Linked DNA regions of Xenopus tropicalis. The protein of the gene in region 2 purifies or fractionates together with the protein of the main gene of each other region. This does not show direct contact. Links are inferred from orthologs where the notes say so. Each region holds a gene or a part of one and is shown on either strand. Other genes may lie near its edges.

What was found.
Region 1: the proteins of prkaca (region 2) and pde4dip purify together in Homo sapiens (affinity purification with mass spectrometry; 5 studies listed by BioGRID and IntAct, with this or other methods). This does not show direct contact. The link is inferred for Xenopus tropicalis from reciprocal best matches to the Homo sapiens genes PRKACA and PDE4DIP.
Region 3: the proteins of prkaca (region 2) and map2 purify together in Homo sapiens (affinity purification with mass spectrometry; 3 studies listed by BioGRID and IntAct, with this or other methods). This does not show direct contact. The link is inferred for Xenopus tropicalis from reciprocal best matches to the Homo sapiens genes PRKACA and MAP2.
Region 4: the proteins of prkaca (region 2) and vapa purify together in Homo sapiens (affinity purification with mass spectrometry; 4 studies listed by BioGRID and IntAct, with this or other methods). This does not show direct contact. The link is inferred for Xenopus tropicalis from reciprocal best matches to the Homo sapiens genes PRKACA and VAPA.
Region 5: the proteins of prkaca (region 2) and akap9 purify together in Homo sapiens (affinity purification with mass spectrometry; 7 studies listed by BioGRID and IntAct, with this or other methods). This does not show direct contact. The link is inferred for Xenopus tropicalis from reciprocal best matches to the Homo sapiens genes PRKACA and AKAP9.
Region 6: the proteins of prkaca (region 2) and palm2 purify together in Homo sapiens (affinity purification with mass spectrometry; 5 studies listed by BioGRID and IntAct, with this or other methods). This does not show direct contact. The link is inferred for Xenopus tropicalis from reciprocal best matches to the Homo sapiens genes PRKACA and PALM2AKAP2.
Region 7: the proteins of prkaca (region 2) and vapb purify together in Homo sapiens (affinity purification with mass spectrometry; 4 studies listed by BioGRID and IntAct, with this or other methods). This does not show direct contact. The link is inferred for Xenopus tropicalis from reciprocal best matches to the Homo sapiens genes PRKACA and VAPB.

The regions. Positions count from the first base shown.
Region 1 is NC_030680.2:118,199,742-118,201,923, reverse strand, and holds part of pde4dip (myomegalin), read right to left. Parts: intron 2,145-2,182; coding exon 2,002-2,144; 3' UTR 1-2,001. UniProt on the Homo sapiens protein: Functions as an anchor sequestering components of the cAMP-dependent pathway to Golgi and/or centrosomes.
Region 2 is NC_030679.2:134,183,959-134,187,458, forward strand, and holds part of prkaca (cAMP-dependent protein kinase catalytic subunit alpha), read right to left. Parts: intron 3,114-3,500; coding exon 3,031-3,113; intron 770-3,030; coding exon 643-769; intron 416-642; coding exon 320-415; intron 1-319.
Region 3 is NC_030685.2:55,867,946-55,871,910, reverse strand, and holds the start of map2 (microtubule-associated protein 2), read right to left. Parts: upstream 2,801-3,965; 5' UTR 2,739-2,800; intron 1-2,738. UniProt on the Homo sapiens protein: The exact function of MAP2 is unknown but MAPs may stabilize the microtubules against depolymerization. They also seem to have a stiffening effect on microtubules.
Region 4 is NC_030682.2:104,692,147-104,695,039, reverse strand, and holds the end of vapa (vesicle-associated membrane protein-associated protein A), read right to left. Parts: intron 2,767-2,893; coding exon 2,617-2,766; intron 910-2,616; coding exon 772-909; 3' UTR 501-771; downstream 1-500. UniProt on the Homo sapiens protein: Endoplasmic reticulum (ER)-anchored protein that mediates the formation of contact sites between the ER and endosomes via interaction with FFAT motif-containing proteins such as STARD3 or WDR44.
Region 5 is NC_030682.2:31,557,614-31,561,113, reverse strand, and holds part of akap9 (A-kinase anchor protein 9), read right to left. Parts: intron 1,441-3,500; coding exon 1,264-1,440; intron 535-1,263; coding exon 430-534; intron 1-429. UniProt on the Homo sapiens protein: Scaffolding protein that assembles several protein kinases and phosphatases on the centrosome and Golgi apparatus. Required to maintain the integrity of the Golgi apparatus. Required for microtubule nucleation at the cis-side of the Golgi apparatus.
Region 6 is NC_030677.2:108,637,168-108,640,667, forward strand, and holds part of palm2 (paralemmin-2 isoform 1 (palm2)), read right to left. Parts: intron 2,996-3,500; coding exon 2,894-2,995; intron 1-2,893. UniProt on the Homo sapiens protein: Binds to regulatory subunit (RII) of protein kinase A. May be involved in establishing polarity in signaling systems or in integrating PKA-RII isoforms with downstream effectors to capture, amplify and focus diffuse, trans-cellular signals carried by cAMP.
Region 7 is NC_030686.2:2,710,335-2,714,517, reverse strand, and holds the start of vapb (vesicle-associated membrane protein-associated protein B/C), read right to left. Parts: upstream 2,801-4,183; 5' UTR 2,702-2,800; coding exon 2,644-2,701; intron 1-2,643. UniProt on the Homo sapiens protein: Endoplasmic reticulum (ER)-anchored protein that mediates the formation of contact sites between the ER and endosomes via interaction with FFAT motif-containing proteins such as STARD3 or WDR44.

The DNA.
Region 1 (2,182 bases), on a different chromosome or scaffold from region 2:
ATTACATCACAGGTCATTTTACTTGAACATTTTGTAGATGTTTTCAGTCGTCGATTGTCACCCTGTGGCTTTCCACACGGGGCATTAACCCATCTCCCATTCTCTTTAGCCATTTGTTAAGCAGCCAAAGAGGCCGGTAGGTGCTATTACACTAAACCTGAAGAGCTGTAGGTTTGCTATCATTGTTTTAGAAATACGGAAGCAGCTAAACTTGTCTTGAATTGCAGGGTTAACTGAAAAATATCTTGAGCTTTTGTAGGTCAGTACCTTAAAAACTGCATTGGTAAGCCAAGAGCTAGCTGCTGTATTCCTTATGAATACTGCTGGCCTTTAGCCAAATAATGACTACTAATGACTCCCTAGTACCATAAGTAAACTTTGTTGGGTTCTTTATGGGTGTCAGGCAGACTCACTGTTCCCTGTAGAATATATTAATAAGCAAGAGAATAACTTCTATATTTTCTGCAGAGATAACAATGAAAAACCAACCCAGACATCCTAAATTGGATAGGAAAAACACTGCTAAATCCCATGTTGACTCTGCATGATGGAACTTCTTTCTGTATTGTGCAACTCTTCATATTCACAAGCCTTAAGAGGCTCTGATGTAGAGATAACATTTGCAGGAATCCATTTCATTAGGCTTACTAAACCTGCTCTGTGCTGGTTGGTGGTGCCAGTCCCATATATCCAGTGTTATAATCAAATCTGCTACTGGTTAGTTGGATTTCTAGAAGAAATACAACTAACCCTCCTTAACTCTCTGCAAGTCCATGTTTGCATAGTTTCAGTGATTTGTAAAAGTTCTGTAGAACATTCTGAACAATGCTAAAAAATATTTGTGTACTGTACAACCACTCCTGCTACGCTGTAATCATCAACTCAAGTCCATAGGAGCATTCTGTTGCAGGGAATTGTTTGAGCTTCTTCTGGACACACATGTACACATGGAAACCAGTTCCTCTCACCCACTGACACTGGAGGTTTATAAGTATCACATTTACTGATGCAGGTTGCTCAACCTGTTATAGTCTTAAGCTGGTCATTGTTGGTGTTACTTTGAGTGTCCATATACGCACAAATACGACTGCTGTAATTAAGAATTTATCCGGATGTCTCTTGAATAAAATAGATTTTTGAGTCCCATCATATTGCTACAAAATATTTGGATTTTCTCGTGAGGATTGTCCTGGAAGACATCTGCTCTGAAAATGATCTGTTACACGGGTAGATGGAGGATCATTCTAAAATGATCATTTTGTGGTAGTTATATCCATGTATAGTCCCATTGTGTTCACTTCTATTTTCAGCTGATAATTAACTCCCAATTCTGTTATCTGTAACCTCCATCATATTCTGTTATTATTTTGGTATTTGGTTCAAACAATGGCAGTCGTAGTGCTAAAGTCGTGAAAACAGAGCATTGGCTTTCTAATATTGCATCTTGTTATATAAAATCTACTCAATCACAGCAAAATCAGTAAAATCAGAGCCTTAGTAAAGGTTACTACCTGGCTGCTGGCTGATGGAGAACACCTTGACCCCGAGGTCCTCAGATTTTTTTGTTCGGCTTCCCATTTTTTGGATGAAATTTGGGAAGACCGCATTTGGTAGGGGGTTCCCCTGTTTGGTTGGGAAGACCCCATGATATGGATACATGGTCATAATGGTCACTTTCATTGTTGCAGGGATAACAAGCAGTGAAGAAACAATCACTGCTAAAACACTTGGGCCACCCCACCATTTTTACTGCATAGGAAGCTAGTCAGTCCAAAACGTTTGCAAACAAATGCATGCATCCATTCATATGAAATAGTTTTGACATAAATTCGGCATATTAGCAATCCTGCCAGAACAAAAACATTAATGCAATGTATCAGTAAACAGTACATAGGGACTATGGGCCTTTTGTGTTCTAGATTATTTCTTCTATTCTTCCAACCAGCACCCAGGGTGTAACCTTTAATGACTGACAGCCTCCTTCTGCACAAGGCTGCATTGTTACTGAGTAGCTTGGATCAATCTGTGGCAAGCCCAGTGATCCGGGCACTTTATGGATTTCAGCTGAGGTTTCTTTCGAGGAGGTTCTTGGAAGACGTCCATTACATGGCTTTGAAACTTTGCTGATCTCTGTTGCACCGGACCTGTAGTAGGGTAGGAGTACATTCAGAGAATTCTGGGA
Region 2 (3,500 bases):
CTAAATACGCCAGGGCCTGGGATGTCATTCATTTTTTCCCATACATTTCTGTGACCAGGAGTATAAGGAGCTGGCATGGAAGCAAAAGATGCCAGTGTCAGATGTAGCGGGCATTGTGGGAGAAAACCAAGAAAATCCTCTCAGGCCTTCTAACCTGCCGAGTAAATCAGTCTCAGCCCTACTGCCCCACTGCCCAGGGCACGCTGCCATAACAGCTGGATCTCCACTATCAGACTCAGTTTGAGCTACATAAAGGAATGTAGGGGGGAGCTCCGAGCATAAAGCCAAGAAAATACCCTACAGGGAGGGTCATACTCACCTTGCTAAGGATTATTTCTGGCGCCAGGTACTCTGGTGTCCCACACAGGGTCCAGGTCCTCCCTTTCACTCTCTTTGCAAAGCCAAAATCCGTCACCTGGAAAACAGCATATAAGTGTGATTCCATATCTGGCTTCCCAAGTCGTACCATGCCCCCAGTTCATTACTGAAGGTTATTATAAATGGGTTTAGCAAGAGCAGTGGGTACATGCCCTGGGCCCTCATAATGGCAAAAGTACCAAACATATACAGTTATAGGTTTATTGTATACACACTGGGGACCTGTAAGAAAGCTGCCATCTGCTGGCACAAGGGGTGTATTACCTGGATGTATCCCTGCTGGTCTATGAGGAGATTCTCGGGTTTCAAGTCTCTGTATATAAGATCCAGGGCGTGCAGATATTCAAAAGTTAATACAATCTGGGATGCATAGAAGCGTGCATGAGGTTCACTGTGGGGACAGGAGAAACAAAACGTTAGGCGTAATGATATGTACCAATACCCCAATGCTCGCTGTATAGAGATGCACAGATTTCTGTATTCTAATAAACAGTGCTGGCCTGGCCATTACTTTTATTTGCAAGCAGTTAGAACTGCAGACATCAGCTAAAGAAAGATCTACAAATCTCAGAATACTCACCCCAAGTGGAAAGGGGGCAGCTTGGTTACCAGATTGGGGAGGGGGGGGGGGGATGGACCAGTCAGTGCAGAGCAGGTTGCCTCAGAGTTCAGTGTTGCTCTGTCTATTCCTCCCCCAACAAAACCTATGCCTATAAGGAGGTCCTAACCCTAAACGTCTGCTGTATACACACCGCTCACTTCATTTCCAGCTCCATCCTTGCAGCCGGCTGCACCTAGCAGTGGAATGTGTGTGATAAGGCAAGGGGAACCCTGGGGCAGCCACCAATCTCTCAGGGGCACACAAGCTCTGTAAGCCATTGTATAGGTTGGAACTCCAATCATGAGTGTGTGTTTGAGTGTGAGTATGTGCTAGGGCAAGTAGGCTGTAAGCTCCATTCAAAGAGGGACAGATGTGATGCACAATCTCAATAAAAGGGCTGAATGATAGGTCAGTGCCATGTGTACAAAGGACAATATTTACTGAGAGGACCCATAGATGAGGAAGGCGGTGTACTTCTCCAATTGGGTGTATGGTTATACCGTCAGCCCGTATAATTGCCCATGCAAATACACAGATAAGCAGCATGGTGCTGATAAAGGAGACAGAACTTGGAAATCACCATGGGCTTGCCCACAGCAGCTGTCAGAGGAAATGAGGCAAAGTCCATCTCCGGTAACATCCGGGTGTTAGAACCGGCACAGAGAGAAGGTAGAACATTAGTTGGAGAGGAATAGAAGCCGTATCTGAACATCATGATGTAAACCTATAGGGGGACGTGACGGGACAGTGGCAAAGGAGTTTGTACGGCTCTATGGCACCACTGGGATCCTGGGTTTCTCTCATTTAGCGCTGGCAGTAAGGCCACCCCCTGAACCATAGACTCTTCTGTGCTGACACTTGGTACCTTAGTGTTGGCACAGCGGACTGTATGATCTACTGCATAATCTGTTTATATGTTCACTCTCAGTTTCCTCTCAAAAACTTAAAAGGTAGGTCAATTGGACTGAGGGTTGTGATTCACGAACAATGAGACAGGTTCTACCCCTGCACCCCCCAAGGGAAACACTCTGAAGGGCAAACAGGGTGAGATTTAGGGGTGAATTGCTTACTTCCTGAATTACAACATGGCTAGAGACTGTCACCCTGCTTTAGTCCCAGGGATTTATAATATATCAGGTTATGAGATAAACAGCCGGTCTGCCCCAAGTTTGGCCCATAAAGTGTTTGTGAGCACATCAGAGGGAACATATATGGCAGGGACAGTCCGTATAAAGGTAATGGGCACTAAAGGAAAACTATACCCCCAAACAATGAAGGTCTCTATAAAAATATATTGTATAAACAGCTCATATGTAAAAACCTGCTTCATCTAAATAAACCATTTTCATAAAAATATACTTTTTAAGGAGTATTAGCCACTGGGTAATCCTAAATAGGAAACTGCCATTTAAAGTACTAAGGGCCCCCCCTGGGATCATAGGATTCACAGTGCACACAAACAAGCCAAGGCACACATACATGCTAGGCCCCATCAGCCAATGAATGGACAGAGTTCTGCCTTTTGCTCCCACACTACTTCCTGTTACAGTTAGAGCTGCATTATTTCCTGTCAGCTGATCTCTAAGGGAGCACACAGCCCATCACTAAATGGCGGCTCAAGGGAAAGGGTGTAAAAAGGCAATTTTTACCGATATATATGTATTCCAGTTTGACGATTTTTTAATAGGCTACTTAACATGATATAAACAATTTGTTGGTTAAGTATTCATTCTGGGGGTATAGTTTTCCTTTCAGGGGTACAAGTTTAAGGTTTCTTGGCTATAAACACATCTATGAGAGACCAGTCTGTAACCAGAAGGTGTTTGGGACAGAGAAACATACCATAAAGCCCAAATACTTGAATATTAATAAGGAGCATTGGTGTTTGCAGAGAGCAGGCTGCAGTTCTGTACATAAGGAGCCATTATTCTGAAGTTATTGATAACTATCCTAACCCTGATAGTGGCTATCACCTTGTGACCACTCTCAAGCATTCAGGGCCCAATGGGCGCATACTGGTAAGGGCATTAGCAGTCTTGGCCTATGCTTACCTGAAGCGCCCGATTCTGCGCAAATGAGAGAACATCTCCCCACCGGCGACATACTCCATGACCATATACAGATTGCTGTTATCCTGGAGGGAGGAGAAGAAAAGACATTAGGAAAGGTGAGGCAATAGCACATCCAGGGCAGAAGAGACATGGGTGGGGGGAGAGAATAAGTCCTAGAGTGCATTACGCTGTCACTGCACAATACAGACCAGCAGCCTTATTGTATTTCTAAACTTCTCCCAGCATCCCCAGCTAGCTGTTCCTAAGGATGCTGGGTATCGCGGGGCCAGTTTTAGGATAGTGCAGAGAGGGAGTTGTATCAAAAGGGAAGGAGATGGAGTAAATAAAGTGACAACATATTATATACAACTTGTTAGATATTCTCAGAGTATACATATGGGATGTCATACGGATAGCTGCTGGCACAAAATGGAAGATGTTGGCCATGCCTTATTTATATATGGGGGTGC
Region 3 (3,965 bases), on a different chromosome or scaffold from region 2:
AAGATAAAATGGAAGACCTATAGGGAGGTCCTGAAATTACAACAATGTTTTTATTTTGACCACAACAATTAGATAGCATTTTCACTTACATACTTAAAATAGTTAGAATAGGAATGCTATTAGTTCAAAAACCAGCCCAAATAAATGGTGAAAACTAAATGAAACATTGCTTAGAAATGGTTATTTAGAAAGGTGAAAATATTTCTGGACTTAGCACTGGATAAACATTTTGGTTTCTGCTTTGCAACAGAGCCAGGGATAAGCTAAAGGCGCATTACACATGAAATGATTTGTTTCCGCTCTGGTAAAGAATAACTACTTGCAGCAGCTCATACAAACATAATCTGTAATTTCTATTCTTTACTACATACAATATTCATCCGTAACACCCAGCCACAAAAGGGAAGCACCTATGAGTACATCAGAAAGCCTTAGTCTAAAGGCAGTTCATGCATATTTGTAAAGGCACAAAACAAATCATTTGTCAAAGCGTCATACATGCAACACTGAATAACTGGAACGTCATTCAGACACCCCCACACTTTCAAGTAGCATAAAAAAACAGTGGGATGGGCCACTTCAGAGACTGGATGGGAGCTGTATTAGACATTACAGATCATGTATTTTGTATAAACACATCCTTTGCTTTGATTGTTTTGTAGCAAGAACTCCAGTCTAGAATATTCTGTTAGTACAATCACAGCAGCCATCAGTTCATATAGCCCATTTTGGTGGTGAAATGAATAAGCAACTGTAAATTTCAATCAGACATACATGGCAGATAGTATTTTCTAATATTAATTACCTAACCACAGGAAGATTGAACTGATAGTTCAGAATGAATGGATAACTGTAGTACTGTAAATGTCAATAACAATATTTGTGTTTAGAAAAAACCTTTTCCGCCACCAAAATGCATGCTAAACCTTTTAACTACACATGCTCCTTTTAACTAAAGAAAGGATATTGCACAGTTACACACCGCTCCATTTTATCATCACTGTTTTGGAAAATCAGACATGGATGTTGTATGGGTCACTGGCTTTTACATGCACAAGCCTAATGAAAAGAGATTTGTTTTAAAAATAACCCCTAGCTTTCTACACTAATGGCTATAAATCTCCAAGAAGCGAGTGCCAGGGAGCATTTTATCTTCTGTATATCCCTGGCATTTTTCCATAGTACCAGTATTATATTAAACCATCTCATCCAGCATTTTAAATCAAATGCTGAGCACATAATTTTGCTGCCAGGGTTGCTATGAATTGAGCTGGGGCACAGACCATGCATTACTTCATATAAATGTCCTATCAGCATATGCATTAAACAAAGGGAGGCTAGCTGCATCCTCCCACTGCATTTCATCGGCCACATAAAACTCCTCAATTCATTCTTTCATATTCTATACTGTATAGGCTGCACCCTCCAAGCTTTTTGATCTGTTGCCATAACTCATAATGACATACAGGTATTCTACTGCAGACTGCATATATTGTAAAGTTTCCATTTGCCATCATGACAGCTACTGTTCCTGGCCTTACAAACTGGTATAAGCAATCATTTCTCTGGTCTGTCAGTGTGTAGCACTGCTGCACTGCAGGCATGATGCACCCTGGGTTGGGGTGGATATACAGATACATTGCACTAAAGGGAAGTAAATGAAAAGAGTCCAGGTACAAGAGCTATAGTGGTGCTATATACAAGTGCTAAATGCAGATTATAAAGTCACTATTGTAATGCGAATGCTGCTAAATCCCACACTGCAATGCAGACTGCAGTGCTCAGCCAGATATAGGTGAAGGCAACCAAGTACCTATTGGTATATATCAATCTATTGGTATATAGCAATCTACAAGCTCATGCGGTCAACTTATTCTAGTGTGAAATACATATTTATAAAAAGATAATTATTTTAAACAATTATAAAATATCATAAAGGAACAAAGATCTGAAACATGTAAAGTTTAGGCTGGATAGGGGAGTGTATTCAGTAACAGGAATGTGATTAGATCAGTGCCACAACCAAAAATGATCAAACATATAGGGCGGGGAAGAGGAGTATTTGTACAGAACTGCTTGGTTTCTAGGTGTAGCTAGCATCAATGATGCAAAATATATGATATACATGAGTCAAATGGAAAGACTTATGTAAGTGTAAAACAGATGGACCTGTTGAAATGCAAAGTTACAGATAAATGAATGAAAAACACTGCAGGTGTCATTGGCATGTATGCAGGGCAGGGATCTGGATGGGAGTATATATAAAATAAAGGGGCAGTTGGAAGACTGCTTGTATCGATAATATGGTTATTTGGCTGGAGGGCAGGGGTGATTGGAAGGTGAGGTAATTATGTTAAAAGGGCTGAAATGACAAAGTTGATTAAAATTGACTAGATAACTAGATATAAACTACCTTAGCTGGTTAAAAGGTTGAGCAGATGAGTTACACAAAAAGATTCAGGCAGCCGTAAGAAGAACTGCTTGGCAGTAGTAGAGCGGATAGAATAAGTGGTCGGAAGGTAGAGGTTAGATAAAGTAGGATATGGTTAAGGATACCGGCTTCGGATATTAGGTACAAGAGGCGGTTCAAGGTTAGTACGAGAGTATATGTATGGCTGCAACAGAGCAACTGGATCGTATGGTACAAAAGGAGTGTTAGGAAGTGCAGATGATCCTTACAGGCTGTTTATGAAATGCTCTGTACCAGCGTCAGTCAGCGACTGTATCGCTCTACTCACCGGATCAGTCACTCTCCGGCTGCAGCACCAGGGATGCTCAGATCGCTTTGATCACATGTAGCTCCAGAGAAGTCCGAGTAGAAACAGGACACGCCCGCAATTACCATAACCCCGCCCAGTGCTGTTGAGTCGGCTCTTTTCTCTCTGTCAAGTGCTGTCCCTGACTCTGTACTTGGGTGTGGTCTCAGTGTGTGTGTGTGAGTGTGTGTGTGTGTGTGTCTGTGACCATTAAGCTGAGGTAGTTTCACATAGTGCTGGCTTTATGTACTTCAATATAGGGTAGTTTTATCTAGGTGTAGCGTATTTATCAAATGGTGAACTCTAACATTTACCCTTTGATAAATACGCTTCTAAAAGAACATAAAGTGGTTGGGTTCCTCTGTAGTGAGCTACAATTATGCGCTTTGATAAATGTGCGGTAAAGTAATGGGGATTGAAATTATTATAATAGATATTTTCATAGTTCCGTTATTAAATAAACGGCTGCAAAGAAAATTAAGGAACTCTAAATGGTGTTGATCTATTGTATGTATTATTTTTAATCATGTTTTAATGGGCTGCTGTCACCTTACTATTCTGGAAAACTGTTATTGCTTTAAATGATGATCAGCAGATTGCTAGTAGGGGGCTGGTTTTATCAGATGCAGAGAGTTTTTCATTATTACTATTAGTGCCTATTACAATCCTGCTGAGACTGAAACTCTGCCTTTTTTCTTGTACATTATGACAATTGTTACACAACAACTGTTAAATGCCTTCTTTGTAGATCTTTATCACTCTAAGTTCTTCTGTGGAGATTTGGCTAACTTACAGTTTAAATGGCTTTACCTATTGGCCTTGAACTTGACTGCATTGCCACAACTTGGAATTCCACTGTTGGAGGCTTGGGGTATACTATACAGGTACAGTATAGATTCATCTTTCCTTTTTGCAGATGGAATACAATACACCCTTTGGGGCAATGACACACTGAGCCAGGGCCGGATTTGAAGTTAGGGCGCCCCGAGGCCGCACCCTTTCGGCGCCCGCCCACTTCCTCCTCCCCCCATGCCTTGTGTGCATGCATGTGCACCACAACTCACATACAGAGCAGTGGGGGGGAGGAAGCGCTAATGTTTCCGTGCATCAAACCCCCATTGCTCCATATGGGAGCAAAATTTCATTGTGGCTGGGCTGGGCATACCCCTAAATTTGTGCTGCCCTAGGCCCGGGCCGTTGTGGCCTCGC
Region 4 (2,893 bases), on a different chromosome or scaffold from region 2:
GTATACTGACCCTTTAATACCAATAGGATCTTTACAAGCTTTCATTGCACTGAAGGCAGAGCCATTCATAAATACACAGAAAATCAGACTGTACAATTATCAAAGTCAGCACAAACACCAAACTTCATGAGAACCCAACTATGACAGATAGAAAAAGGTTATCCTTCATAATGATATAGTATATACAGATTTTATTTTTTAATGTTAAATATAATGGGATATGCCAAAGAAATTAAAAAAAAAAAAAACCAAAAAAAAAAAAAAAAAACCACACAGTTGCTTCACAAGAAGAATATGAACCGCAATATATTGAAATTAAAGGACAGAATTTACACTGAAGAGACAGCATCCCAAGATATCTCCGGCATTTACCTGAATGAGATTAGCAATCTACAGAAATCATATTGCAAAAGATAACAGATAAATTTAAAAGGATTAAAATAACAATTTACAAGACAATTTAAACTTTGTTTGAACATATTAAAACCACAGAAAAATTATTTTTTTTTTTTTAGATTACTTCCACCTCCCCACCATAAAGAATTGAACATATGACAGACACTTGCTGCTGATGAACGAACAATAGTCCCATAACCACAGGTTTTTTTTTTGTTTTGTTTTTTTTTTTTTAATTCTGCTTCCCCAACTGTGAGATTGTTAAGGTGGTGCCTATGTGATTCTGTACACAAAACAGCCTGTAGAACAATTCTACCGAAAGTACTGGTAGATAGCCTTTCTGGCCAGGAGGGAAAAAATTGCGCATCACATGCTTTACAAGATGAACTTTCCTAGAAAGAATCCTATGAAAATTGCTGCAATGACAACAACAAGAGATGGAATAGGGATGCCTTGATCTCGTAACATTTTGCCTGATTTATCTGATGCCTTCCTCATTCGTAAAGTTTCCTCCTAGAAAAAAAAATTAAAAAATGAGATCAATTAAGAAACTATAAAAGATGCAAGTTTAAATGTAAACCCTTATAGCACAAAGGAATAAAACTCCTATGAATATTCATAAAGAGAAAAAGATAATCATAATTCTTGGTCCTGTATAAGTGTTGGAGAATGGGGAACTGAAGATTCAGATAATATGCCTGACATAGCCTTTAAAATTAAAAAGCAGTAGGCAAGTGGATAGGCCAATGAGATTGATGCCAAAATTTTGACTTGTATGTATAGTCATATATAGTGAGAAACTAATAGAGAATCATGACAAAGGGGAAGATCCAGGATAAAATGGATACATTACATAGGAGAGGTTGCAATATAGAAAACCAGGACAAACAGAGAAGACTGGGCTGAAATTGTTTTTGGGGTCAAGGACATTAATGCACTGCAGTGGCAAGTTAATAGCAAATCTTGAGGATTTGTTCTATTCCTCCTAACTGCTGAAAGTTCTGAAAATTGGCCTTAAAGAGCTATGAATGCATACAATTTAGAAGGTAATAATCCCATGTAAATGCACATGTATTAAAGGGATTCTGACATAAAAAATGTAGTCCTCAAAATAATGTACATCAAAAGTTAGCTATGAATTATATTGATTAGGTTTTTTTTTGCCCAGATGTCTGCTTTATTTAATATAGTTACCTGAATGTCTGAAACCCGACTGGCACTTCTCAACCTGTCAATTAGTGTTTCACTTCACTGACGTCAGCTGAAGCTGGGCGGATCTATTTTTTTCCTCCCCTTAATTAATTAATTCCTTGCAGTCTGTGTGTCCCCCACACCACAGACATCAAATAACTTTCACTGAGCACTGCATGTAAAGGTGGCCATACACTCACCGATAATATCGTACAAAACCTCGTTTCGTACGATATTCGGTGCGTGTATGGTATGCCGGCGAGTCGTCGGGAAGCTGCTGATATCTGCCGACTCGCCGAAAGGACCAGTTTGAAAATTTTGATCGGGCGCCTGACCAAAATCTCCCTTCAGCGCTGAATCGGCAGAAGGAGGTAGAAATCCTATTGTTTCAGCCCTGAATGGTGTGTGGCGGATCTGACGATGTTTCGTGCGATCGTCAGATCGCCACGTGTATGGCCAGCTTAAGTGTCTTCTCAATAAATCTTCGCGGCCAGAACTATACTTACTACTGCTGTGATTATTATGAAGGAACGCACTCCGGTACAGATCAAAATCATTGCTGCGCATGCCTGCTATAGAGCTCTGTTGTCCATACATGACGGAGACAGGCCAGTTTATAATCACCTAACTTAAGATACCACCTGCATGTTCAAAGGGTATCAGAACAAATATGCTTAGAAGGGAATGCCTGAACACTTCACTGTCCACAGTTGTACTTCAGCATTCAAATATTTAATTAGAAATAGTTTTTATGTGCAGCACTGATTTCGAATTGGCTAGGATTTTCAAACTAAAATCAAGGGCAGTGTTTTCAAACAACAACAAACAGCTGCTGCCCAAACATGGCAGCCCCCTCAGAGAGAAACACATGAGATCAGAATGGCAATGTAAAAGTGATAGTTACGTGGTTCTAGGTTGAAATTAAAGAGATAATACAACAATAATGCAATGAAAGGTTTAAAAGACAACAACATTTTTGGTGTCAGTATCACTTTAAACACTTGTATAACCAACACAAAGAGATCTTACTTTTAGAACTTGGTTTTCATCTGATAGTTTGATCATTTCAGATTGCAGTCGCTTACATTCCTCCATTAACTTCCGTGTTTCAGTGTCATCCATGGAAGAACTGCCTTTTGTTCCAGGAAGACATGAATACAATTTGGTTGACTCATGTGTCTGAAAACAAATAATTACAATAGTCAGTTACTGCATTTTAGAATGGTTTCTACATGTGCTTATTAAATCTCTTCAGCTTTGGAAAATAGATATATGTACTCTAAGCTACACATGCTATGTGTGTCTA
Region 5 (3,500 bases), on a different chromosome or scaffold from region 2:
CCTACCACTCACATAATAAGTTTGTAATATCTGGCACTGTTTCACTGCACCCTGTGTACATTTTTCTGCAGCAGAGAAATTTTGACACCTCTCAAAAGGTGAAAAAAGCCCTTCTCAACATTTGCATTCTAGCAATCATAGGATCAATCAATATTTCCAAATGTTTCGATTCAGTATCTATTGTAGCAATAGGTCATAAAGCATTTTTGAAAAGACTTAATTTGAAGGTACTGCCATATAGAAAAGTCAGTCAACCTGTGTGGCTAATTTATCATCCTGTTCTATTGGTTGGTAGCAACCATCGCTACTTTCACTTTCCAAATCCTTGCTCCCTAATGCAAATTGCATGTAGGAAAAAAATTGTAGACAATTAAGATAAACTATTAATAAAAAGGTCTCAATGTCTTTTTTAATTAAGGGAATTCGCACCTCTTTTTCTTTTCGATCTATTGCGTCACGCTCCACTTGGAGTTGTGCTTCTAGAGGTATTTCTCCTTTGGAACTAATGACGATGGACTGTCTTCTGAGCTCCACCTTCAAGAAAATGTACATATTACTTAGACTTGTTTATTTAGTATTTAACTTTTCATCCCTCGTCCATCCCTAAATCAGCACACAAAAATCACATCAAAAAGCATTACAGATAGTTTGTGTAACCTATTCTGGTATTTGCCAGAATCAACAGATTGCCAGTCCATTTCTGAATTTATTTATTTATCTACAGAGAGTGAGTAACAACATTTAGGGGGTGGGGTAATCCTATTCTATTCCTAAAAACACACACACCCGTTACATGAATCTTCACTGGTGCTGTGCCTAAAGGTGGCCATACATGTACATGTTAAAGTTCAGGGCTAAATTGTCAGACATGGAGGTAGAAGTAGGGATTCTACCTTCACCTGCCGATTCAGCCCTAAACGCAGACTTTGCTCGGCCGCCTTTTTAACTCAGCCGATCGTCGAGACGACCGATATTTGCAGCCTTTGCAATACAGGTCGGCTCATCGATCCACTATACACACACACCGAATATCGTACTAAACAAGGTTTCATACGATAATATCAGTTAGTTTATGGCAAGTTTTGCGCCTCCATTTGTAAAGCTAATGCTTACTTAACAAATATTGGATCCAAGCACCACAGACACAAGATACAACAAGATAATTGGGTGTGGAGGATCCTTTTTCATTTTGCGTGTGTATGCACCTATCTAGCCATTATCACATATTAAGGTAGGGAGAAGGTCACAAGTAAATTAACTCACCTTCTTAAGGGTATCATCACTGATGAGCAAGGCCTGCTCCAGTTCCCTGATCCGACACTCCAGCTTCTCAATCTCTTCATTCCTTTCTTGAATATCCCGCTGGAACTGTTCTTTGCAGAGCAGCAGTTCATTGCATTTGTCTGTCTTTTCCTTTAGGTTAGTTTCCAGTTTTTCAAGCTTTTTTTAAAAAAATTTAAAAAAAAAAATCAACCAAAAATACCTCTTAAATTGTACATTCGTACATTGGTGGATGCATCTATTTGTATAATTAAACGTGTGAGTTATGGCACAATGTACACAGATCCAAAGGAATACTTTAATATTTAATGGGGCGATTCACTTAGTATATTATAGAATGTCCTATTCCTAGCAACTTTGCAATTGGTCATCATTTATTTTTATAGTTTTATTTTTTTAATTATTTACCTTCCTTTTCTGCCTTTTTTTAGCTTTCAGAGGGGGGTCACTGACAGCAGCAGACTTAAAACTATTGTTCTCTGAGGCTAAAATTCTATCGTTATTGTTACTTTTACTGCTTATCTTTGTACTCAGTCCTTTAACTATTCATATTCCATCTCTCATTCAAATTACTGGCTGGTTTCTTGGGTAATTAAGACATTAGCAACCAGATAGCTGCCGAAATACCAAACTGAAGAGCTGCTGAACAAAAAGCTAAATAACTGAAAAACCACAAAAAAAGAAGGCCTATTGCAAACATTATAAAAATGCACAATAAGGGAAACAAAGGAGCACTGGATCAACAGGTGCTATCGGATAAATACATAAAAACAGAGGTGGGTGTGTCAAAGTGACCTTTCTTATATTTCTTGACAAATTAATTTGTATTTTCCCAGCTTCTTCTATAGGTACAGATGATTCAGATATTTTCACTGGGAACATGATTATAGGCACAGGACCCAATGTACTACTGCAGTGCTGTCCAACTTCTACGGTGCCGAGGGCCGGAATTTCTCTAGCATACATGGTGGAGGGCCGCTAATGGAAGCCAGTTTTGACCACTCCCCTTTTTGAAACCACACCCACTTCAAACCACACCTATTTTATCACAATGGTGGTAACACAGCAAAATCCCAAATGCTTGGTCCTTACTGTGGGGATATCAACCATCATTCATATGTGAAAGAATTATGTCATATTAAGATATACCCTTAAATTCCATATGCCTCCTCCTCCCCTGTGGATAGCAGAGCAACCCCCAGTACATAATTACACACCTTAGGGACCATTTAATGGCTATTTCCAACTGCTAACAAACTCCCACAACAAACCCCTGCCAGGTTCACCTCCCACAAGCAGCATAGAGCAAGCAGAGTATGGCACACACAGGCAGCACTCTGCCTGTCCTACGCTGTCTGTGTGTGCCATACTCTGCCTGTCCTACCCTGCCTATGTGTGCCATACTCTGCCTTCTCTATGCTGCCTCTGTGTACCATACTCTGTCTGCCCTACCCTGACTGTGTGTGCCATACTCTGCCTGCCCTACCCTTCCTATGTGTGCCATACCCTCCCTGACCTATGCTGCCTGTGTGTGCCATACTCTACCTGCCCTATGCTGGCTGTATGTGCCATACTCTGCCTACAGTACCTATGTCTGAGGTGTGAAGAAGTGAACAATGGGAGTGATTACAGCCTGAGCCTGAGGTGTGAACACTGCAGGGGGTGAACCATGCAGGTATTAAAAGGTGTGAAAAACACAGGGGATTACATTTTTAAACAATACAGGGGGATTACAGCCTGAATCTGAGGTGAAAACCATGCAGGGGGCCAGTTAATCTCAGTACTGTTACCATTTAATGCTTACTCAAAGGTAAGCCATCAAAGCAGCCAGACAGGTGGGGGGCCACACAGAGGGGGGTCGCGGGCCGCATGCGGCCCGCGGGCCGCCAGTTGGACAGCACTGTACTACTGTATCAAGCACACTGCCAGCTGTTACTGTACAAAACGTGGTAAGCTTGATGGTATTTTCCAGCTGCCTCTGACTTGACACTGGACAGACTGATGTTCAATAAAAAGAACTAGTCTTTAAAAAAAGCTAATTATACAGGTATGGGATCTTTTATCCAAATTATAGGAAGGCTGTCTCCCACAGACTTCATAAGGTATGGAGATACAAATTATGTAAAGATCCTTATCTGGAAAACCCCAAGTCCTGAGCATTCTAGATAACAGGCCCTATACCTGTACAACAGAGCAAAGCACCTTTAATCTGCAGCAGT
Region 6 (3,500 bases), on a different chromosome or scaffold from region 2:
CATTGTTTACAAATGTGCATATGAAGAGTCAATTGAATGCTTCTAATCATCATTATCTGATTAACAAGTGACACATTTGAAATGTACTGTGTAAATTTAAATGCTGTTAGTGCCACATAGTGTAATATGAAGGGATTTGTTTTTCAAACTGATAAGGCCCAGTTTGCCAAATATTGAGGTTGAAATGTGTAGTAACAATGTAATTCAGAGCTGGAGGCCTCAGGCCAGATGTGGCCCTCCAATAGATTTTTATGATCTCATATTTTTTCTAAAGAAGCTAGAGAATGTATATGACTTTTGTAGCTTATAGAGAATGGTAAAAGCCATACCTTTTGAGAAATGTCAACCCCTGAATAAACTGTATTTCATTAATCCAAAGCATATTATATATAATATTTTACTGCTGCATACTCTTAGCAGCTGTGTTTTGTAACTCAATAAAATACCTTTAATACAAAATGTCTGTATTTTGTAAAAACAAATTTGGATTTCATCGCACACAATGTATTATCGGGGTCTAAAAAACAGGTTCTCCCTACACGTTCCTGGTATTCTCCTCCGCTCCTCTCAGAGCCTCCGCCTTTTTACACCATCCACACCCACTGCGCTCTCTTGTATTAAACCTTTCTATCTTGCTGCTCGTTATCTCTGGAACTCTATCCCTGAATTCCTCCGTAGGGAACACTCACTCCCTGTCTTTAAGAAAAAACTCATATGCTACCTTCTGTAGCACTAAAACATTATTTTGTCTAGTCCTGCACTTAAGGGCAAATGCCCATACCTTGTGCACTCTTACCTTCCAGTTTGTGCCTGTATGTTACTAGACCGCTTAGATTGTGTATTTATACTTATTTATTATAACACTTGTCCTCCCTGTGTCTAATTGTGTATATTGCACAGCGCTGCGTATCCTTGTGGTGCTTTATTAATAAAGTTAGACATACATACATACACATACAAGTTTGCAGAAGCTAAAACTGTTTATTACATGACATTAATGACATATTTATGATTAGAGGTCTTTGCCTGATGAATGTTGTTGTTAATAATAATAATAATTGTATTTGCAACATATAGGTAAAGCAATTCTGAAATACAATGATTCTTCTCTTTTAGTAACTTGCTTGTACATTTGCTGATTCAAAAAATTTAAATATATTTTTTATTTTTCTTATAATCTTAACAAAGCTAGTGTTTATTATAATAATCAGGGCTCTTATGACCATAAGGTGACTGAGTACCTCTCTTCCTGCTCTACATTATGGAAAGTGACAGCAAATCCCACTACATGAGGCACACATATAGCTCCAATTCCTATATGCTGCAGCAGTACCTGATAATTGTTGTAATTGAACCCCAATTTAAAGAATATGAATAGGAATGCTGTTTTGCTGGAGTGTAGCTATAGAGATGTACTTGGAAAGCATCAGATATAACTAGTGATGTGCCATATCAGAATTAAATAGAGTCTGCCATTTAAAATGTTATTCTTGAACTGACAAATGTATTTTTTCAGTTGTAATATTGATGTGTAGGCAGCCATCTCAGTGCATTGTGTCTGATTCTGAGCTTTCACAAGGAACCAGTGCAACACATTAGAACTGCTTTTAGATAAGCTATTGGTTATTCTAATCCATGTAAACTGAAGCAGTCCCAATCCGGACTTGGATTTCTTATTGTTGAGTACCATTCAGATATCTACTGGCTGTGGCACTCACTGGAAATTAAGATCAATCATGGCTAGCTCCATGTGAAATTTCAAAATTAAATATTAAAAAATATGTTTGAACTTTTATAAAAAGGTTTTCAATGCAGGATTCTGCTGGAGAATCTCTATTAACTGATGCATTTTGAAAAAACATGTTTTCCCATGACAGTATTACCTTAAGTTTATAAGGCCATTTAACTGCCATTGTTCCTCTCATCTGACAATGATTCAAAATTATGAACTGTTTCAGGATCCCACTCACATAAGATACAAAGAAAAATCCCCTGCTCATTCAGGAAATGTTAAAATGGCAGCTTTGCTAAGTATTCCAATAAAAACATTTGCCAACAATATAAAAGAGGAAGTGAATTAGATCACAAGGGACCTTGGACTGAACCTTGGACCTACACTGAAGGATTCTCTAGCTGTAGAAAGGCAAAGATCTAATAAACTATAATATTCTTAACTGCATGCTTTAATTTTACAATGACATGCCCTGATTTAATGTGATAAAAAGCTTGTGGAAATACACAAAAACCCATATTATGCAGTATGCTTCTAGTCTGTAAGATCAAGGGCTTAAAGGCTGATGACAGATGATTGATTTTTTAAGGTTAATTTGATAAAATTAATTATAATTACAATCAATGCTGAAGGAGGAGATAGACATGATAGTATACCACTGCAGACAAAAGGTCCTTGGACAGGTAGTTATTTGTAGGTACCCACCTGATACAGATATCCACCTTGACTAACCATAAACTTTACAAAACAAATAGGGTATAGAATGTTAGCCTTTTTTATATATACATTATGTATTCATTAGTTTAACATAAGCAATTAATAAAGAAAAGGTGTTGTTGTATAACATATACTACAACATGTTTTTGCTTTGGGTGCCCAAGTGAGTTATGGGATTTCAATCACTTTTAAAGTGGAAGTGGTTTAGAGAGAGTTCAATAACGTAGAATACTTTGCCAGCTGCAAAAACAAAAGCAATTTTTCTAACTTAAATCTGTTAAAACAACATTTCTAAAATAAAATCCAGGAAACAGGCTTGGTTTACTTTAAGTGCAAACTAGGATATGATATTGCACTAATCTGTTAATTTACAAAATGATCAAAATTGTATTACAACTTAAAAATGCAAGCTTACTCTTAAATGTAACAGTGTAATATACTTACCAGCTACCCTTGTCGTTCCGTCACCAGAAAGGGATGTTTCTGTATTTTGTAAATTAAAAGTTGTGAGGTCAGGGATCTCAGAGTAAATGTAGTTCACAGCATCTGGTATTAGAAAAGAGAAGAAAAGGGTTTGGTTAGCAGCAGCATTGTATAGTCAGAAAGCCATAGCAGTGCTTAAACAGCAGTGTGTCAACTTTGTCTAAACAATGGGAATTAAAGCTCTCTACTCTGTAACTGGATGGCAGCAAAATGCAGATTCATTGCCTTGTGAATGGCATTAAATAGATTAGCAGAGGTAGGAGGGAACAGGTCTCTTCAAGCTGCATTAAACCATCACATACTGCTTCATCTTGATGGGAAACTTTTATCACTTGGTCATTAAGGTCTGTGGGGAAACTGAAATAGATTTCTTTCATCAAATTGAATGTGTGTCTTTCGCTGAAGTTGCTAGATTATCTGCACCTGATCAGAAACACATTTGAGGGCATTTAGAAAAATAAATAACTACTGGCCAACCTAAGTATGATACTCTGAATTTGGATAACCCAAAGGCTGTACTGTCAGTTCGATTTCCACTGGCTGCTTTTCTAGGCTGTTCACAAGCACT
Region 7 (4,183 bases), on a different chromosome or scaffold from region 2:
CCTACAATTGTCCGGCCTCCCTTGGTGGTTTCCTCACCGTTACAAAGTACCGAATACCCCCCCCACCCCACCCCGAGCCCCCAGTGTCACTAACGCACAGAGTGGGCGCAGGGTCCCCTACCCACACACACTGTGCCAACACTGCCCAATCAGCAGTCAGAAGGAATGCAGCCAATGGGAGGGGGGCACAGACAGGACTTTATGTATCACTGCCCCCAGTATATGCGCCCCATTACACCCTATATATACCCCCTGTATATTGGATACAGCATCGGGGCTGTGCACCCTGCACCCTACTGGCACTACGGGGGCATAAATGGATCAGGACTGGGGAGCACAGCAGGGCCCCAGGGAACCCCCATATAATTAGGGGGCACTACTCCTCTTTGTTATCAGGGAGCTCTCTGCCCTTTACCCACATACCAAACTGACAGTTATAATAGGGACCCCCTACCTTCAGCCCTGTATCCCAGCAACCCCTTGCACTCATGGTTACAAGACCTCCCTCAGGCAGGTTCTGAAATGGGATGTACCCCAGCGCCCCCCACTGGCCCTGCACCCCAGCGTCCCCCACTGGCCCTGCCCCCCAGCGCCCCCCACTGGCCCTGCCCCCCAGCGTCCCCCACTGGCCCTGCACCCCAGCGTCCCCCACTGGCCCTGTAATCCAGCGTCCCCCACTGGCCCTGCACCCCAGCGCCCCCCACTGGCCCTGCACCCCAGCGCCCCCCACTGGCCCTGCACCCCCCACTGGCCCTGCCCCCCAGCGGCCCCCACTGGCCCTGCCCCCCAGCGGCCCCCACTGGCCCTGCCCCCCAGCGGCCCCCACTGGCCCTGCCCCCCAGCGGCCCCCACTGGCCCTGCCCCCCAGCGGCCCCCACTGGCCCTGCCCCCCAGCGGCCCCCACTGGCCCTGCCCTCCAGCGGCCCCCACTGGCCCTGCCCCCCAGCGGCCCCCACTGGCCCTGCACCCCAGCGGCCCCCACTGGCCCTGCACCCCAGCGGCCCCCACTGGCCCTGCACCCCAGCATCCCCCATTCCAGGATTACAACTCATGCAGCCCAGCAGTACCCCCAAGCCGTACATTCCAGGATTATATCCCATGTAGCCCAGTAGTACCCCCAACCCATACATTCCAGGATTATAACCCATGTAGCCTAGCAGTACCCCCAACCCATACATTCCAGGATTATAACCCATGTAGCCCAGCAGTACCCCCAACCCATACATTCCAGGATTATAACCCATGTAGCCCAGTAGTACCCCCAACCCCTACATTCCAGGATTATAACCCATGTAGCCCAGTAGTACCCCCAACCCATACATTCCAGGATTATAACCCATGTAGCCTAGCAGTACCCCCAACCCATACATTCCAGGATTATAACCCATGTAGCCCAGTAGTACCCCCAACCCCTACATTCCAGGATTATAACCCATGTAGCCCAGTAGTACCCCCAACCCATACATTCCAGGATTATAACCCATGTAGCCTAGCAGTACCCCCAACCCATACATTCCAGGATTATAACCCATGCAGCCCAGCAGTACCCCCAACCCCTACATTCCAGGATTATAACCCATGTAGCCCAGTAGTACCCCCAACCCATACATTCCAGGATTATAACCCATGTAGCCTAGCAGTACCCCCAACCCATACATTCCAGGATTATAACCCATGTAGCCCAGTAGTACCCCCAACCCCTACATTCCAGGATTATAACCCATGTAGCCCAGTAGTACCCCCAACCCATACATTCCAGGATTATAACCCATGTAGCCCAGCAGTACCCCCAACCCATACATTACAGGATTATAACCCATGTAGCCCAGCAGTACCCCCAACCCCTACATTACAGGATTGTAGCCCAGCAGTACCCCCAACCCATACATTACAGGATTATAACCCATGTAGCCCAGCAGTACCCCCAACCCCTACATTACAGGATTGTAGCCCAGCAGTACCCCCAACCCATACATTACAGGATTATAACCCATGTAGCCCAGCAGTACCCCCAACCCATACATTACAGGATTATAACCCATGTAGCCCAGTAGTACCCCCAACCCCTACATTACAGGATTGTATCCCAGCAGTACCCCCAACCCCTACATTACAGGATTGTAGCCCAGCAGTACCCCCAACCCATACATTACAGGATTATAACCCATGTAGCCCAGCAGTACCCCCAACCCCTACATTAGAGGATTGTATCCCAGCAGTACCCCCAAGCCGTACATTAGAGGATTGTATCCCAGCAGTACCCCCAAGCCGTACATTAGAGGATTGTAGCCCAGCAGTACCCCCAACCCCTACATTACAGGATTGTAGCCCAGCAGTACCCCCAACCCATACATTACAGGATTATAACCCATGTAGCCCAGTAGTACCCCCAACCCCTACATTACAGGATTGTATCCCAGCAGTACCCCCAACCCCTACATTACAGGATTGTAGCCCAGCAGTACCCCCAACCCATACATTACAGGATTATAACCCATGTAGCCCAGCAGTACCCCCAAGCCGTACATTAGAGGATTGTATCCCAGCAGTACCCCCAAGCCGTACATTAGAGGATTGTATCCCAGCAGTACCCCCAAGCCGTACATTGCAGGATTAATGTGAGTGCCCCAGAGCCCCCGGTACCTCGGAACTTGAGCTCATGCTGGGGCTCCAGCTGAAGGATCTGCTCCACCTTGGCCATGTCTCCCGTGTGGGCTGGGGGTCCGGGCCTGTCCCGGCGGCGGTGGCGGCTGCAGGAGCGGGTGATGCAGCAAAGCGGCGGAGGGCGGAGGCTGCTGTGACGTCACGGCCCCTGCAAGGCCCGGGGGTGAGCGGCGCGCAGGCGCAAGGGCTGGGGGCGGGGCCGCGGCTGCGCACTGGGGCTCAAGGGCCAACATGGCGGCGCCTGGGGGGGAGGGGCAAGTTAGCGCTGGCAGCGTATGTGCGGGACCCCGTATCCGCCCTGTGTAATGTCACATAGATATCCGGGAATATAAACCCGCGGGATCTCCCCTTATTGGTACCGGGTTGTCCCGCCCCTCCTGCCGGTACCGCTCTCTCCCGCCGCCGGTACCGCTCTCTCCCGCCGCCGGTACCGCTCTCTCCCGCCGCCCGTACCGCTCTCTCCCGCCGCCGGTACCGCTCTCTCTCCCACCGGTACCGCTCTCTCTCACCGCCGGTACCGCTCTCTCTCCCACCGGTACCGCTCTCTCCCGCCGCCCGTACCGCTCTCTCCCGCCGCCGGTACCGCTCTCTCCCACCGCCGGTACCGCTCTCTCCCGCCGCCGGTACCGCTCTCTCTCCCACCGGTACCGCTCTCTCTCACCGCCGGTACCGCTCTCTCTCCCACCGGTACCGCTCTCTCCCGCCGCCCGTACCGCTCTCTCCCGCCGCCGGTACCGCTCTCTCCCACCGCCGGTACCGCTCTCTCCCGCCGCCGGTACCGCTCTCTCCCGCCGCCGGTACCGCTCTCTCCCGCCGCCGGTACCGCTCTCTCCCACCGCCGGTACCGCTCTCTCCCACCGCCGGTACCGCTCTCTCTCACCGCCGGTACCGCTCTCTCCCACCGCCGGTACCGCTCTCTCCCACCTCCGGTACCGCTCTCTCTCACCGCCCGTACCGCTCTCTCCCACCGCCGGTACCGCTCTCTCCCGCCGCCGGTACCGCTCTCTCTCACCGCCCGTACCGCTCTCTCCCACCGCCGGTACCGCTCTCTCCCACCGCCGGTACCGCTCTCTCTCACCGCCGGTACCGCTCTCTCCCACCGCCGGTACCGCTCTCTCCCACCGCCGGTACCGCTCTCTCTCACCGCCCGTACCGCTCTCTCTCACCGCCCGTACCGCTCTCTCTCACCGCCCGTACCGCTCTCTCTCACCGCCCGTACCGCTCTCTCTCACCGCCCGTACCGCTCTCTCTCACCGCCCGTACCGCTCTCTCTCACCGCCCGTACCGCTCTCTCTCACCACCCGTACCGCTCTCTCACCGCCGCCCGTACCGCTCTCTCACCGCCGCCCGTACCGCTCTCTCTCACGCTCTCTCCCGCCGCCGGTACCGCTCTCTCTCCCACCGCCCGTACCGCTCTCTCCCGCCGCCGGTACCGCTCTCTCCCGCCGCCGGGTACCGCTCTCTCCCACCGCCGGTACCGCTCTCTCCCACCGCCGGGTACCGCTCTCTCTCACCGCCC